4 linked regions of the Caenorhabditis elegans genome follow. The protein of the gene in region 3 interacts with the protein of the main gene of each other region in a pairwise test. Each region holds a gene or a part of one and is shown on either strand. Other genes may lie near its edges.

What was found.
Region 1: the proteins of cpr-9 (region 3) and rpt-5 interact in a two-hybrid assay, tested with the Caenorhabditis elegans proteins (one large-scale study listed by BioGRID).
Region 2: the proteins of cpr-9 (region 3) and stam-1 interact in a two-hybrid assay, tested with the Caenorhabditis elegans proteins (one large-scale study listed by BioGRID).
Region 4: the proteins of cpr-9 (region 3) and ajm-1 interact in a two-hybrid assay, tested with the Caenorhabditis elegans proteins (one large-scale study listed by BioGRID).

What each region holds. Positions count from the first base shown.
Region 1 is NC_003279.8:5,741,306-5,745,073, forward strand, and holds rpt-5 (26S protease regulatory subunit 6A), read right to left. Parts: upstream 2,267-3,768; 5' UTR 2,250-2,266; coding exon 1,589-2,249; intron 1,497-1,588; coding exon 1,204-1,496; intron 1,140-1,203; coding exon 994-1,139; intron 939-993; coding exon 746-938; 3' UTR 563-745; downstream 1-562. Other genes in the region: rad-8 (Reticulon-4-interacting protein 1, mitochondrial), read left to right, coding at 2,879-3,028, 3,073-3,261, 3,315-3,607, 3,653-3,768. UniProt on the Caenorhabditis elegans protein: Component of the 26S proteasome, a multiprotein complex involved in the ATP-dependent degradation of ubiquitinated proteins.
Region 2 is NC_003279.8:5,901,557-5,906,529, reverse strand, and holds stam-1 (Signal transducing adapter molecule 1), read left to right. Parts: upstream 1-1,834; 5' UTR 1,835-1,890; coding exon 1,891-1,896; intron 1,897-2,202; coding exon 2,203-2,310; intron 2,311-2,492; coding exon 2,493-2,684; intron 2,685-2,886; coding exon 2,887-3,084; intron 3,085-3,137; coding exon 3,138-3,388; intron 3,389-3,552; coding exon 3,553-3,985; coding exon of another isoform or gene 3,986-4,015; intron 4,016-4,082; coding exon 4,083-4,268; 3' UTR 4,269-4,425; downstream 4,426-4,973. Other genes in the region: tyr-4 (ShKT domain-containing protein), read right to left, coding at 4,496-4,920.
Region 3 is NC_003283.11:12,001,361-12,005,128, reverse strand, and holds cpr-9 (Peptidase C1A papain C-terminal domain-containing protein), read right to left. Parts: upstream 2,077-3,768; 5' UTR 1,956-2,076; coding exon 1,953-1,955; intron 1,897-1,952; coding exon 1,651-1,896; intron 1,555-1,650; coding exon 748-1,554; 3' UTR 545-747; downstream 1-544. Other genes in the region: F57F5.3 (ABC transmembrane type-1 domain-containing protein), read left to right, coding at 1-165, 217-497; gcy-33 (guanylate cyclase), read left to right, coding at 3,353-3,424.
Region 4 is NC_003284.9:9,081,048-9,086,034, reverse strand, and holds the start of ajm-1 (Apical junction molecule ajm-1), read right to left. Parts: upstream 3,053-4,987; coding exon 2,951-3,052; intron 2,133-2,950; coding exon 1,974-2,132; intron 767-1,973; exon of another isoform or gene 564-766; intron 348-563; exon of another isoform or gene 206-347; intron 3-205; exon of another isoform or gene 1-2.

The sequences.
Region 1 (3,768 bases), on a different chromosome or scaffold from region 3:
TGTAATGCAATTTCTGCTTTGTGTCCTCCGCAATCAAAAGTAGTAGCATATAGTCATAAGACAAAAGAATTGGTAACAGATACACCACCTGTAAGATTAAAATTATTTCAGAAAGATAATCAATGAAATACAAATATTTACAGCTCGAGAAAAATCCCTTTATACTTTCCGAACTTTTCTGCATCGATGGAGAGTGGTTCAAAAGAGGTGTTGGTTCCGAAGATTCGATGCTTACAGGATCCCCAATTTCATGTGCAACTACTAAATAATTATCTGATACACTTCGCATTATTCAATAATGAAATTGATAACAGTAATTGTAAAGATATTTCAATTGATAAATATTTTCAAAAAAGAAAATACTTTCTATCTAACGAGACCCAAATGAAAGAGGCGGAGCGTTTCCATTTGGCACTGGGGCGCGATTGCACTTTAGCTTTTCTCTGCATACGTTTCACTGACGTCAGTACTGACTTCTGGATCGGTCAAGTTACAATTTGAGATGTCTCGCTAAATGTTTGAAGAGCACGCAGAATGTTGAAACAGTGAAAGAAACACATTTCGAAGAGTGACCATTTATGCACATTGATCGGAAATAAATTAGGAATCCACGCACTTCGAGGATGAATCAATAAAAACAGGAGAGGGGTGGGAATAGAATACGAAAGATGAAAGTAAGAAAAAATCGCGTGAGAAAATTCGGGAGCGATTCAAAGGGAACACAGTGACAACCGGGAGTGAAGGATTAAGCGTAGTAATTGAGGGACGCCTTTTTCTTTGCCTGGACCTCCAGAATAGCATCCATAAAGTCTTCATGAAGAATCTCAGTAGCATCTCGTCGAAGAGCAATCATTCCAGCTTCAACACAAACCGCTTTGCATTGTGCTCCGTTGAAGTCATCGGTACAGCGGGCCAGTTCTTCAAAGTTTACATCCTTGCTGAAAAAAATTAATTAGACTAAATTTTACAAATAAAACTGTCGCGAAAACATACTTGACATTCATCTTCCTGGAATGAATCTGCATGATTCTGGCACGGGCATCCTCGTTCGGATGGGGAAGCTCAATTTTACGATCGAGACGACCAGAACGAAGAAGAGCGGGATCGAGCACATCGATACGGTTCGTTGCAGCAATGACCTTAAATTCATATTTACAGCTTATACCGTCTTAAAAATATAACTTAAAATGGAACTCAGCTTACCTTGATATCATCATTTGGTTGGAAGCCATCAAGTTGATTAAGAAGTTCCAACATGGTACGTTGCACTTCACGATCTCCAGCTTTCTCTGAATCGAATCGCTTCGTACCAATGGCATCCAACTCATCAATGAAAATAATAGCTGGAGCCTTTTCCTTAGCAAGAGCAAAAGCATCACGAACAAGCTTGGCTCCATCTCCAATGAACATCTGAACAAGTTGTGGGCCTGCGAGCTTCAAGAATGTTGATTTAGTTTGGGCAGCAACCGCACGGGCCATCATCGTTTTACCAGTTCCTGAAAAACGAATAATTTACACTTGAGCTGTTGTAATTAAAATGGTTATTTTCTAGGAGTACTACTTTATCAAAAATTTTTCGTAATCTTACCTGGTGGTCCATACATGAGCACACCCTTTGGAGGATGAATACCCAAATTAACAAATCGATCCTTGTGAGTCATTGGAAGCACAACAGCTTCAATCAGCTCCTGAATTTGCTTGTCACATCCTCCGATATCGGAATATTGTTCAGTTGGCCGTTCGTCAACTTCCATAGCCTTCACACGAGAATCATATTCTGCTGGTAATTTTTCAAGAATCAAATATGAATCCTTATTGACACCAACGAGATCTCCTGGCTTCAACTCATCTGGATCGACAAGTCCAACAACTGGTAAGAAATATGTGGCACGAGTGGAAGTCTTAATGACTGCGCACTTGGTTTTTTGGGCATCGAGATCAACATTTGCGCCTTCTTCTTCTGTATTATCCTCGAGATCAAGAAGTTCGACAACGTTGGACACCAAGTACGGAAGAGTTTTGTTAACTTTGATACGTTCAGTATTCTCCTTGATCCGTTCTTTGAGAGTGGTTGCAGAATGATTGATACGTTGAACTTCACTTCTCATAATACGAATCTCGTTGTCCAACAAGTGGGTACGGCTTTTGAGATCTTCCGTCGACATTTTCAGAATCTCCTCATCAATAGCATCCTCCACCTCCATTGCCTCTGGGTTTTTTCCGTCTTTTGGCGGTGGTGTTTGCGACATTGTACTGCTTCTGGGGCCTGAAAATTAGTTGTAATTGCTTCTGGTGAGATCTGAAAAGTAGTTCCAGAGAATAACGCAAAGTCAAAGTTCTGGACAATAAAATAAAATCAGTAACACAATGCGGTGTAAATGAGAATATTTAGTTCAAAAAATTAAACGAACGCTAATGTGTATTGAGCGAGTGACAATGAGAGAAAGTGTTTATCACGAGAAATAATGATTAGAATAAAAGAAAGTTTGACTTGATAATTTCACGATGGCCCAAAGGTTACGTCAGTATTTAGCTTACTATTAGGTTTACGTTCCGTCCACAAAATCTGTTTTGGCTAGCTAAATATTATTTAAAAAAGTTTAAAATTTGTGTTACTATCTTCAAAATATCTTTAATGAGTTCTCAAGATAAAAAATTTTGAATATAAACTTAAAAAAAAACAATAATAAGCTTTTTAGCCTTCAGTAAATGATAAAGAATCCAAAAGAACGAGAAATTTTGAAAAGGATGATTTGTGCAATTTAGCGTCGCGGTGAACCACACAGAAGGCATTTAATTTTACGACACTTGAAGTCTTCGTGCAGTTTTATTTGTTTTTATCAGAAAAAAGTTATTTCCACATGAAATTTTCAGCAAAATGATCGAAAAAATGATTCTACGAAGATTTTTCTCAACAAAATCATCAACGATGCGTGCATGGGTCTCTGAAAACGGATCTGGAGTTGAGCTCAAAGAAGTGCCGCTTCCAGTCATAAACAAACCAGGACAAGTCCTTCTAAAAGTTAAAGTGAGATTAATATTTCTTGATTCAAGCAATTTAAATATTTGTAGGCAGCGTCTGTTAATCCGATCGATGTTGACATGTCTCAAGGATACGGTAGAGAATTCCTAGGGACGTGGAAAAAAATAGAGTCCTGTGATGCAGCCGCGTCTAGATTCCCTCTAATTCCAGGAAGAGATTGTACAGCTGTTGTAGAATCTGTTGGTGGCGATGTGCACAATTTAGCTCCCGGTGATGAGGTAACGAAATCCTATTATGCATCGATTCATGATTAAATATCGTATGTTTTCAGGTTATGGCTGTTGTTCCTGTAATTCTTCCAGGCACACATGCCGAGTTTGTTGTCACTGATTCGAAGTATTGCTCTAAAAAGCCCAGCAATTTGAGCTTTGTATCAGCTGCCGCACTTCCTTACGTCGCATCGACAGCCTACTCAGCTTTTACAATAGCCAGGGTCTCACAACGAAATGCCAAACAACAAAGAGTTTTGATTCATGGAGGAGCCGGAGGAGTTGGAAGTATGGCAATCCAGCTATTGAAAGCATGGGGATGTGAAAAGATAGTGGCAACGTGTGCAAAGGGCAGGTTAGATTATCTATATCTTTGCAATTTTTCAAATAAAAATTGTAGTTTCGATATTGTGAAGCAACTTGGTGCAATTCCAGTCGACTACACATCAGACCAGGCGACTCAGGAATTGATTGAGCATGCACCATTTGAAGTTATTCTTGATACTGTCGATTCCC
Region 2 (4,973 bases), on a different chromosome or scaffold from region 3:
ACAGACATTAGGAATATTATTTTTAACAACCTATTAGTTGTTCTCTTGAAGGTTGGCTACTGCCAGTGGGGAATGTGTAAAATAATTCCTATGCTGTGACCAAATGACTAAATGTCATAATAAAATTGTCAAAAAATTTGGAAATTATGGAATTTTTCTTCGATTTTTTGACTTAATTATGTTTAAAATACTTATATTCCAACATTGTGGAGATTCAAACATGCGACAGTGATTTAGATTTTTCAAATTTGACTCGAAATAAAAAATTCCAAAATTTTTTGAAAATCTTTATAACGAGATTCGGTAATTTCAACAGCATATGAATAGTTTTTAATAATTTCCCCATTAGTCGTAGTCCACTTTTAACTTTAATTAATAATTAAAACCATTAAGGTTTAAAACCGAATTTCAAAAAAAAATTTCGATATAGAAGACTAAGAATAAAATATAACTTTAAAGAAAGAAGTTATGAAAGTTTTTGTGAGTAAAATGAGTACCAATGTGTATTTTGGGAGGCACGGGGTTGGTGATGAACATTATGTGTTGTATTACGCATGCCATAGACCAGTTTTGCGCGGATTGCATGATCAAGTCGATTGACTTTTCGTCTTTTTCGATTAAATTGATAACCGATCCAGAATAATACTTATATAATTTCATTGAATTACAAAATTCAAATGAGTTAGTAAAAAACTAGAACATTCAGTAAAATTTCAAAGCTATTTGCAAACCACAAACTTGAAATTTGAAAAAAATCAAACATGGAAACTCTAGACAGTGTACACAGGACAAATTACACTGATTAATCTATATCAACTCGCCAAGTTTACAAAATTTCGTCGAAAAACTGATAAGCACATGCAAAAATTCGTGTGAATTGGCTCTAGATAGAAAAATATGAATTGGCTCTAGATAGAAAAAATAACTAAATCGATAATGTTTCGTGTCGTTTTCGATGTATTTTTATGGCTCGCTATCGGCAGCAGCTACCGCTTGTGGCTGTTGTTGGGCCCCTTTTTGACGAATTAGGTGAAGAGAATCGAACGGAAATGAAAATTTATATGAACACAGAGTGGAAGAGTGGTGAGAGAGAGAGAAAAGAACGAAAAGCAGGTGGAATCAACAATGAAAGTGCAAACAATTGTGCTTATAAACAATTTGGATTTGGATTTTTTTTCAACAATTTTTAAAAATTCTATTACGATGAGAAGTAAGAAATATGAATGGAATAAATAGAAGTCTGAACAAATTTTTTTGAAAACGAAAAATTGAACATTTTGTTACGAAGCGTTTTCAGGTTCTAAAGTATTATTTTTTAGGAAAAAACATTAAAAACGTCCCAGTAATCTACTTTTAATAATTTTGAACTAATTATTGAGTAACATTTAGTTTTAAAAGTTTAGAAAAAGCATGGACACTGAAAATTAAAAAAAAACATGTTTAAACAGAGAAAAAAATTTGAAAGATTAAAGGAGCGCGCGATTTGTAGCATGAGGGTCTGCCACGAATTCTACAGTTGTTCAGATCATTTTTTTTGAATTATTCCACAATCTTTCTTCTCTTTGGAATTTAATTTTTCTCGAAAGTTATTTAATTTTTCTATAAAAATGTGCATTGCAGTTTTAAAATGTTTTTTTTTTCAATTAAACGCATGAATGTGATTGGTACACGCGTGAGACGCAAGTTCTCGAAAATCTGCGATTGCGAAAGGCAAAAGTATTCATTTTTTCGAAAAAATAAACAAATTGCTCAAACTAAATTGAATATCGATCGTCTTTGCCCTCAATATTTTAAATATCACGCTTTTGAAAATTATTTCGAAATAAATATTCAGTTTCAGTGAGACTCATTCAATTGAACCTGATCACGTGCTGAAAGTCTGCTGTAACAATGAAGGTTTGTTCGTTTTCCTATCTCTACTTTAATTAAAAATAGTGTTAAGAGTAATTGTTCATTCAAATAGATTTTTTTTCATTCAGTAAAAAATGATTAAGTTTTCGGAAAGGAAGAAAACAAAACAAAAACATAGAAAAAAGTGTGCACGAACGAACACACAAAGCATATGCGTCAGTGTCTTAACCCGTCTAATGTCTCTTCATCCCCCTACACTCTCTCTTTCAGTTCACCCGACTAACACATTCAACAAGCAAACCCGTTATTGATTCAATTTTCTTTCGTAATATTCCTTTTTTATATTTTCAGAAACAAAAGTCATTTCCAATGTCTGCTTATGAGGATTTGCTCGGAAAAATCACTGCTCCAACTATCACTGTTGAGAATTGGGAGGGAATTCTCGCATTTTGTGATATGGTTCGTTCAATTTGTTTTAAAAAATGTATAAACCTTTTCACTGATTTATAGATAGAATTCTTTGTCGTTTGATAAAAAATCATATTTTAAAATTAAAATTTCCTCCTTAAATTTGCTAGCTGATTTTCACCGAAAATCATTGATTTTGGACTAAACTTAATGTTTTAGTTTAAAATTTTCAGATTAATAACGACTTCGAGGGATCGAAAACAGGAATCAAATCACTTCGTAAACGTCTCAACAATCGTGATCCTCATGTTGTCCTTCTAGCGATTTCTGTACTTGATTCGTGTTGGGCAAACTGTGAAGAAAGATTCAGAAAGGAAGTATCGTCTGCACAATTTATCAATGAACTCAAAGCTCTTTGTACATCGGTGAGTTTTTGTTTAAATCTGAAATTGTTAAACAAAATATCAAAATTTCTTTCATGAAGTTTTGTATTTCTTTAATAGATATAGTATACGCAGAAAAGAGATAAAAAAGAGAAATAGAGTTAGAAAAATAAGTATAATACGAAAATACGATACATTTCACCGCGTTTACAAAAAAAAATACAAAAATTTACAATTATTATAGAGTCAACGCCAAGTTGCTGAAAAAATGCGATTAACTGTTCAAAAATGGGTGGATACAGAATGCAAAACTGAACAATCACTGTCACTTATCGTCACTCTTCACAAAAATCTTGTTGCTGATGGCTACTCATTTGTTGTGGATGATCCAAAAAGTAAAACGAAAGCGATTGATGCAAAGTTTGCAAATGATCCGAATTATGTGAGTTGTGGAAGTTCGCGGCAATAAATATCAAAAATTAATAATTATTATAGGTTGGATCTGCTCAGGAAGAAGAAGCAATCGCAAAAGCCATTGCTGCTTCATTGGCGGATGCAGAGAAACAGGAAAAAGCAAAAAAATCAACATCCACAATGTATCCATCAGCAAAAGCAAGTAGTCCAGCAGTTCAGACTAATTCGAATATTCCGGAAAAGAATGTTCGAGCGTTATACGATTTTGAGGCTGCTGAAAGCAATGAATTATCTTTTGTTGCTGGAGATATTATTACAATTACTGATGAAAGGTAAGCAACAAAAATGTGTTCTAGTTTAAATTGAAAGCAATCGCTTAAAAATCAAATCAGGAAGTTCTTCAGTTTTTTTTTTTGTAATTTAAAATTAATCATACCGAACCTTTTCGTTACTGACTGCTTCTATCAATTATCAAAAAAAAAACAATTTTTTGCAGCAATCCCCACTGGTGGACTGGTCGTATTGGTACCCAACAGGGACTTTTCCCATCCAGCTTCGTTACTAATCAACTCGATGATCTAAAATCAAAAGAGACGGATTCATCACAGAAAGCCCCAGAAGTTGTAGCCTCAATTAATGAAGCAATCCTTGTTCGTTGTCTTCAAGTACTCCATGAATGTGATCCTACCGGTGAACGACAGGATCCAGAGGATTTGGCCCAACTAGAAGCCGCCTCGTATGCTCAAGGAAATCTCATTGATGCACATTTGGCTAGTATTGATCGACAGAGCAACTCTCTAGCACAAATCGATGTGGCTATTCGTGATGTGCTCGCACTTTATGATGATGCGATTCAGAAGGGAGGATTTCAGCATCAAAGTCAAGGAATGTACCAACAACCAATGCAACAGTACAACTATCAGCAACCAGTCAGTTTTTATTCAGAAAAAAATATTTAGAAAACTGAAATTTTTCATTCTAAGCTTCACGGTAATGCCTATCAATTCAAAAAATCGTATTTTTCAGCCAAACCGAGCATATTACCCACCTACCGGTCCTGTCCAACAACAGCAGCCACAACAATATCCTCCACAACACTATCCGGCTCCTGGAGCACAACCACAGTACGCATGCCCACCGAATTCTGTTCCCCAACCTCAACAACAGCAACAACAATGGCCTGCTCCGTCTTCACAGCCTCAACAATATTAACTTTTTGATTTGTTGTGAATATCACCTTTTCCTCCTTGAATCTGTAACTAGTTCCATTGATATTGTGATCACTTCTAACTTATTTTTCTCGATTCGCCACCCGTTTCTGTATAGTCTTTTGCTTCCTCGAGTTCTCGATAAGATAAAAATGAATTCTTTATTGAGTTTGAGGCAAATATTTATTATACACGAAAATAATCGGATAAATTGAGAAAAGGTAACAAAAATTACAAGAGGTCCGGATCAAAAGATGGCATTGAAATTGATGCATTGGCTGCTCGAATGGATCGTTTACCCCATCCACCGCCTCCCCATCCACCTCCACCCCATCCACCTCTTCCACCACCCCATCTTGATCCTCCCCATGGATCATTGTTTCCCCATCCACCACCTCCATTTCCACCCCATCCTCCATTATCTCCGAAATCGTCACGTCCCCAACCTCCACGTGGTGGTTGACGAGATGGATTAGTCTGACGAACTTGTGCAACTGGAGCAACTGATCCAGCTGTAGTTCCACACATTCTACGAAGCTCTGATTGAGTATAGCAACTGTTACAGCTTGATCTACAATTCTCAGCCATCCATGGATTTTTCTGACATTCACCGACACGAGCCCATCCGGCACATGATCTATGGTAGTCGACGCATGCTGAAATATATATTTTTTAATTATAAAAATATTTTTTTAAAAATAAAGCTTAC
Region 3 (3,768 bases):
TGCTCGCTCATGTCATATTTCCCATATTTGCTCTGATCGTCGGTTTTATATGTCTGACAGCTATTCTCAATCCATCAAAGGCATTGTCTAAATGTGTTGCCATTCTGCTGCTTGTCATTATTGTGCCAAATTTTATATTCCCAAAATATTCAGTTTTTATGAAAAGTGAGTTTTAGTTTGAAAAGTTTAAAATTTAAAAAAATCACATTATTTCAGCAGCAATAGAATCAGTGGAAATAAGTCAAGTAATGGATCGAAGTCTTTTTGGAAATGATATTGATATGATAAAATCAGAAACTCATAATCGAATGTCAAAGATTTTAATGTTATCAACAAATCATTGGCCATTGGGAGTATCTGATTTAACAAGTCTTCCAACTGATTTTGTTCTTATGATGCAGTATCTACTTATTGCATATTCTGTATTTTCATTATCCCTTTTTATTTTTTATGTCATTACTTTGTTTTGTTTTGTTCGTTTACTATCTGTTCAATGAACATATATTTTTCATACAATTTTTTGGGAGTACAAGTTCTGTGCATTATATTATAATAACCCTTTTCAAACAATTTGAATTTTGGAACAAAAGAAACAGAATTCGAATTAATCTTGACAAAAAAATATGTAATTCAAGTTTGTATGCAAATGTTAACAGAAAATATAAGAATAATTCAAATATTTATAAATCGAATACATATTGTACAATAGGCATTGAAGTTGCAATCACAAACACAATGTTTCGAGATTTACAATTTTGGAATTCCTCCGACGACTCCTCCCTCAATTCCGCACTCGTTAACTCCACGAATGATACGGAAATATCCGTTCTCTCCCCAATCCTCATTCCATGAGTTGGCACAGAGCCAATATGGTGTTCCATTATCAACTCCCCATCCGAGCATCTTTACGGCATGTCCTCCAAGACTGGCTCCAGCGGTATGAACGTAGACTCCTCCGGAGTAATGCTCAAAATCTTCGTAGACAGTGAATGCAACCTCAACTGGACCATGAGTCATGATTTCCTTTTGGATTTCAGCAGCCTTCTTTGAGACGGCGTATGCAGATTGTCCGAAGTGAAGATCTTGTTGGTAGGTGAGAGCATATCCAGCTTGGCAAGAGCGTTCGCATTTGTCAGTTGGGTACATGTTGGATGGGCATGGCTTGTAATGAGTTCCATTGACGTGATGTTCACATGGTGGATATGGGTATGGCTTGCATCCAGTCTTATCTTGATAAGATCCTCCGGTAACGTATCCCTTCTTAACATAGTGACGCCAGGCTTCAATTGGATATCCACCATTGCATCCATTTCCACAGACCATTCCACAGCAAGCATTGATATCGTCAGCAGAGATGGAAAGGATAGTTTTGGCATTTGACGCAATGCAAATACGATCAGAAATAGTTTCAGCAGCAGAGACAGCCCAGCACGATCCACAGGATGATTGATCACGGATCTTGGAGATGGATGGGCAGTTTGGCCATGCGGTACGGGAATCGAATGAGTCTGGAACAGCAGCATCCTCGACTTCTGGATGAGTCATCTCGAAAACCTGGAAACAATTTCATTAGGATAAATTAGTTTGAAAGAAATCTGTATTTTTTGGGAAGCGTTTTTCAAAATCTTTAAAATATTCAAATTTACTAACTCTGTACTCTTCTGGGATCTCGACCATCTTAGCTCCCATCAATTGCTTCTTAATGGTATCTGGGTAAGAGCTGAAGTATGATCCGAGCTCAGCCTTGAAGGAAGTCTGAACCTTGTTGACGTAATCAACAAGTTCCTGTCCACGAAGCATTTGAGCTTCAACTGGAATGGCATCTCCGTGCTTAACCTCAACATTGTAGGCGTTGACGGCGACAAGGCCGACAAGAAGAGCAGCAATTGCAGTTTTCTGAAATTGAAAAGTTTTTGAAACTGAAGTTAAACTTCAGGAAAATTAAGCCTTACCATTTTTCGATTGGCTGGAGAATTGGGAAATTCGACAGTCGACCAATTTATCAAGCGCTTACCAGGGGTTTTATAGTTTTTTCGTTTCAAGCGACTGATAACTTTTGAAGTTTGGCGTTTTCTCGAATATTGCTGATAAGAATTAGGCATTTCGCTACTAGCTCCGGTTTCATTTCGAAGTGAAAGGCCTGATTAGACACGTGCATGTTTGCGGGAGAATTCAAATTATTTGCTTAAACTTGGACTTTGAAAGCGAAAATTTGCAGGGTTAACGAGTTGTAGAGGTGATTAAAGAATATTATATTTTGTGCTCTCATAGTGTTATGCCTTTAAATATAATCCCTAGTAATAGACTGTTCCAATAATTCTTCGAACATTTTAATAGGTGTATTTTCGTACTATCCTGGTCATATCAACTTTCCAGCAGTACAATTTTAAACTGAAAATAGTTTCCTTACAATTATCAGCTCGTTTTTTCGGTTCCCGAAAAAAACATCCGTGTTTTAAGATAATGTGACGTCACACGCGACCATAATGCGAGATTGCATGGCATTGACGATCTGGATTAAAGTACATACCAGTCTATCAATTTTGTTTTAATTAATGTTTGATATTTAATTTAAAAACAAACATTCAAACAGATTTTGCTAGTTTGGCTCTGGTGTGTTAGCTGTTATACTAACTAGAATACATCGAGCTATTAACTTTGACCTGCTTAACTTGTCATATGACATGTTTATCATAAAGATGCATGTACGTCAATGTTTAGGTTATCACTATTCTTATCACAGGTTCGTAGAAGATCGATTCCAACTCCCACAAATCAAACAGACTACATTTCACTACAAAACACGAAATAGGGGCTACAAATGTCGTTTAAACTACTTTAGACACCTCAAATAAAACAAAAATAATCTGCCCCATGCCAGGCTCGAACTGGCGACCTTGGCATAACCTATAGACTATAAGTACCACGCGCTAACCGACTGCGCCAATGGGGCACGGCCCTAACGCATGAGAATTAGCCTTGACAAGTATACTGCTCTCCTCGGTCTCCTAGACTCTCTCCGTCTATGCTGTGTCTCTGTGGAGGGGTAAGGGATACACACATGAACCACTGTGTTGTGCGGTCTCTTGACCATTGCCTTACATAGAGGAAAAGGTGGGAGACCTAAAGAGCAACGAGCGGGGAGAGACGCAGACATTTGTATTTCAAGGGAAAGGGGGAGAGGTGAGCTAATGGATATTACGAATCGAAGATGAGATTATTAAAATAGGGGGCAACAGTGTACAGCTAACGGAAACTGGCACGGAAGTTGGAAGATGTTGGTAGTGGAAACACCTTATTCAGATTTTAGTCAGCATTTTCAAACATCTTCTAGCAGAAATCAACCCGCAAAATGTACGGATTGGTCATTGAAGGTGTTCGGTTTATGATACAGGAAAACTGGGGACCCCAAGTTCTTCTGCAGGTTTGACTTTTTCTAATTTTTAAATACCAACTTGAATGATCTTTCAAATTCCAAATGAAAGTTGAAAACATTTAACTTTTTAATGACTCCGTATCAATTATATATTGATGTGTAGGTGAGTAGCTATGCAGCCAATATAAAAAAGGCGCCCATTCAAATATTAAGCTTTAAACTTTATGACGTCATTAACCGGAAAAGACTTCTAGAACATTGCGATTTTTTCTCGATTTTTTTTCTAATTCGACGTAAAAATTATCTTTTAAAGAAAATTTATCTTTACATGTTCATAAGACCAAAAATATCAGAAAAAATTGTTATAAAACTTCCAAACTTTTGAGACAGCT
Region 4 (4,987 bases), on a different chromosome or scaffold from region 3:
GGAGTGAACGGAACGTTGTACACTGAACGGATATGATGACTAATTGGTAGTGACGGTACAATGATTTGATGACAAATGACCAGAAAATGAAGAAATCCCGAGACATAAAGAAAAAACAAAAAGTGCGAAAGATTGGTGACTTGAAGAGGAATAGAGATGGATGCAAAAGTCAAAAAATCAAACATATTGTATTATATGAACACAACGATGTACAGAGAAAAAAGAAAAAGGGGCAAAAAGGCAGAAGAGCTGGCGGGGTTGTTTTGTGTGAATCATCTGAATAAACAGGGCTTTTTATATGCGTTAGCTGGTACGTATATGCATATTTGTGTGTATTGACAAGGTGGCTGAGGTTGGTGCATCTCCTTTTTGTATACCGTGCAGTGCACGGCAGTATCTTTTTACTCGACTTTTCCCAGTTGGCATCGTTTGAGAAAATTTTCCGCAACTTAGTTTCACTAAGGAAAATTATGTAAAAGTAAAATTCACTTTCACTATTGAGTTGTCGGCTTACACTTCGGTTCTCCTTGGGTTTATCAAAGAAAAAAATTATGTTGAATTTAATATTTCTTAGTTGACTATTTTGACTATTTTATTTTTTTTTGATAAAAACAAAAATTACCCAAGTACTGCCAAGGTGGAGCAAGAGGGTACAAGTGTTTTTTTTTTCAAATTTAAAACACGAATAATCCCTACAATAATCAATTCACTACAAATATAAGTAAAAATTAAAAAGTTCAAGTTCGTTAAACCTACTAAGTATACTAAGTAATTACAATCGAGACATTTGCAGATTTTTAGTTGAACAAATAAATTCTAAACTGTATAAAACTCGTGAATATAGAAAAGTAAAAGTATAACACAAATTCAACATATACACCACAAATACCACATAAGAAGCCAGGTAGTAGCACATTAAAAAACACGACAGAGGTTAGTGGCCAAGACGATTTGGAGGAAGGGCAAACGTCTGTGACCCTCTCTGTTTTCTGCCCCTCTTGACATCTCCAACGGAACAATTGAACAGTTTTAATAAGGTTGCTAGAGTCTGGTGGAATGAATGAGTCGAGATTTGATGAGTTGAGTTAGATGGTTCAGAATTGGTAATTTGAAGAAAATTGGCCAAGTGGAATTGGGAAAAGATGCGAATTAAGAACTGAATACTAAGGTAGGTAACGTAAATTAAACTAAAAATAAGCAAATTTCTAGTCAGTGACTCATAATCAAGACATGGTTATTAGATAAATTTCAGGAAAGAAATAATAATTTTGACACTTTTATAATTAAATTTTTGATTTATTGCTTCACGTACAATTTTGAATAACACATGTGTTGTGAGTAAATTAATTGTGAATTTTTGCTCAAAAGTTGTATAATTTTACAATGTATACATTCTATTCCGTTACCACTATTATTAAAATTATCTTCATTCAATATCATCTGGAACTGTTCGAATGTGGGGTATCCCTAGCATATTAATATGATCAAGACATTTACACTATCCGAAAATAGCCAACAAACATATCAAAAATGTATATAATTTTTAAATCACACACAAAATCAAAACAAAGTAACATTTACTTAGTTTCAATAAATCATTTGGAAGTCAACCAAAAAATACATGTCCTGTCAGTTTTACACATTAAGGAGATTCATATTATTTTTATATATACATTGTTGTGTTCAAATCTCCAGTAATGCCCAAAATAATTGAGAAATTATTTGAAAGCAAGACATTTTTTCAAAAATAATTCTTATTCTCCCGAAAATAATTCTTCCGAAGAACATGAAAACTTAAAATGTGTGTAATTACGATATTTAATCGTGTTTGACAATTATTCATATGTGAATGAAAACAAAATTCCGCTTTCAAGACGTTAAATGTTAAAACTCAGTTTTTAACCTATACGGCAAAAGTATAAAAAATTGATAATGTCTTGTGAAAAGAAAAAACAATCAAGAAAAGGTCTCACCTGTATAAATACACCCTCTTCTACAATTTCGGTGTCGGAGCTGGTATCGGATGAGGAAGACGACGCCTCCTCAACCTGAATATCCGGATTTGCCGCCGTGGTGGTAAGTCGTTTCCGGGCCGTGGCGAACACAATTATACGTAGAGAGAGGACAAACGCCTGAATTCAGAAAGCAAATTAATTGGTGAATTGTTGTAAGAAGGTGTGTGGGAATTGAAATGGAATGGTGAAGGCGTCAAGAATTCAAATTTTCTCTAATGAATGGATAGTGTATCTACTGGACTAGTTTTCCTCTTTCCTCTCAGTTTTCAGATCGCCAAAAGGGCAAAAAGTTATCGGAACGAAGGCCCTTATGTAATGAGACGGTTGAAGGGCCACCCGACAACCACAAGACGCAATTAGTATCCGAAATGCAATGATTATTAGAAAAAAGTGGAAGTGTGGTGGTCATGTCTGCAAGCGAATGTACGAGATCCACAATTGCACGCTTTTGCTGCCACCCATACGCGAAACATTTTGAATTTAATAAATTCTGAGAGCGGAAAGCCCGGTGTAAAAAGAAGAATATGCTTGGAAATAACACGGGAAACTGTGAGAAATTTGACACGATTTAAAGAAAAAGATCCGCATTTTTGATACCCTTTTGTTCTTATTATAATTGAGAGAGGGAAGGGTCTCAGGCTGAACGCTTATTTTAAAGAAAACATATGTCAGATTCAATATCATATAGAGGGATGTGATATAAATATAAAGATGGACTGAAAAAAAATCATCGTGAAACTTCAAAAATTTTTTTAATTATTATCCAATATTTACGAATTTTGACAATTTTCGAGAAAGGCGCGAAATCTGAATGAATATCTCTTCTCGAATGAAAATCTCGTTTTGGCCTAACTTTACCTTTAAGTTAAAAAATTTAATAGGAGTATTTTTAATTTAGTATTAACTTGTATTAAAATTATGGCAAAAATACTCACCAAAATAGCAGAAAATGCTGTCTGTAAGATGGCGTTGAAGCCGTCCGGAGGACGACTTTTCTGTGACCTGTTGTTTGACGATTGTAGATTTTCTATGTCCATACAATTCTGAAAAAAAAACCTTTAAAATTTTCATCATTCCTTTTTGGAAAAGCGGATAGAATTTCAATCAAATTGCCTACATATTGCTGAATGTAGAATAATGGGTTTCAACAATAAAAAATGATTCAATAGGAACATGAATTGTTGAACGGAAACTTAGCAATTTAAAAAGGCTTGGTTAGTTTTTTATACAACAATTTGAAATCATTGTTTTGTTGAATAAAAAATTTGAAGAAGGAGACATGTGCGACCACGAGATGTTCCATGATTCAGACTATGATGTATCAACAACTTTATGCATATGTAGTGAAAAAATACGATGATGGGAGAATAACACACACGAAAATGAGCGAAAAACAAAAGAAGGATGTGCTACGGAAGAAGTAAAGAGCTCTCAGGTTTCTATTATGTGCCAATTTCTTTGTACTGTCAAGAAGAGAAGAGAGTGTGGTGTTTGCTCGTGAGTTCTGGCGAACACGAAGACAAGTTGGTAGCGCATAACAATTGCTTGTGCCGCACTAAACCACTTTTGCAAAATCTTTTATCTTCTTTTATCTCTCTAGTGATTTCAATCATACATACGTGCCAGTTTCACACCACAGATTACTGTGCAATAATGGAGTTACATCAAACTTCAAGCTAGTAAAACATTGGGCTTGGTTAGAAAATCAAAATTATTCGTATTTCTTTGTTAAATACAATAAATACTCTTCATATAGAAGTTACATTCTTTTAATAAAATGACAAAGTTAATTACAAAACAAGTTTTGTGATCTACAGAGGTGCGCGGGAATTGGAAAAAAAAAGTATCTCAAATTCTAAAATTTTTGAATTATCTCAAGCAAACGGATGACAAAAAAACTCTACTAAAATACACATGACATTTCAAGCTTAAATTTGTTAGGTTACAAGATTGCCAACAAAATCCGGCAATTCCTGTAATTTTTATTTCCAATGTTTTCAAAATTACCAAATGTCGCGCACCCCTGAAATTGAAATAGTTCCAATTTTGAGTTTAAAAATATTTAAAAAAAAATATTTTAAAAACATCATCTGAAGTTTTCAGTGTTACCAATTCATAACGTGAATAGTTTTTGGCACAGAAACAATTCGAATTTGTTTGAATTTAGATATTATATTATTTTATTAATGATAAAAATATAGTATTCAGAGGTGCAAAAAAACTAATAAAATGTAAAACTAAATTCACAGGAGATGTCGACCAGCAACATGTAATACAACATGATATGTATACAAAACAACAACAAGCAGTAGCAGATTAATAGTTGCATACTTTAGTAACGGTTAATGATGATGTTTTGTGAAAAGATGAGGATAAAAGCTTAGGTTTTTTTTTAAACTCCAGACTTGATTGATGAATTCTAGGTGATTTTGAACAAATTCTGAAAACATATGCTACTCTCCAAATGCAATTGTTGAATTAATCTAGGCAAAATGATGATGGAGAAATTTATAGTGCATTTATTTATTATGAATATAAATATCGAGAGGAATGGAATGAAAGATAGTCGGGAGTGAGAATGAGCGAGAACTCGTAAAATTGTAACGAACTACAGATGCGAAAAGTGATAAGAAATAAAGATGGAAATACAACAGATTATGATAATGTTTGTGCATGATGTTATGTGTTATAATTCGGTTTAAGAATGAAAGTGGTCAGGAATCTAGAGGAACGTTGAAATTTCGAACTACTTTTTTTAAATGAATCTCACTAAACAAAAAATTAAGATTACACGAATATTGAAAACTGTTTAACTTTGCAAACACAATAGAATTTTTTTCAAAACGGATTGCCTCACACTATGATATGACGGATTTTCCGGTCACCGGCACCTGTCAAAGATGATTAATCAATTTGTTTATTGACATTTCTCTCCTCGTTCACCGATAGTCTGATTATAGGGAAAAGGACGA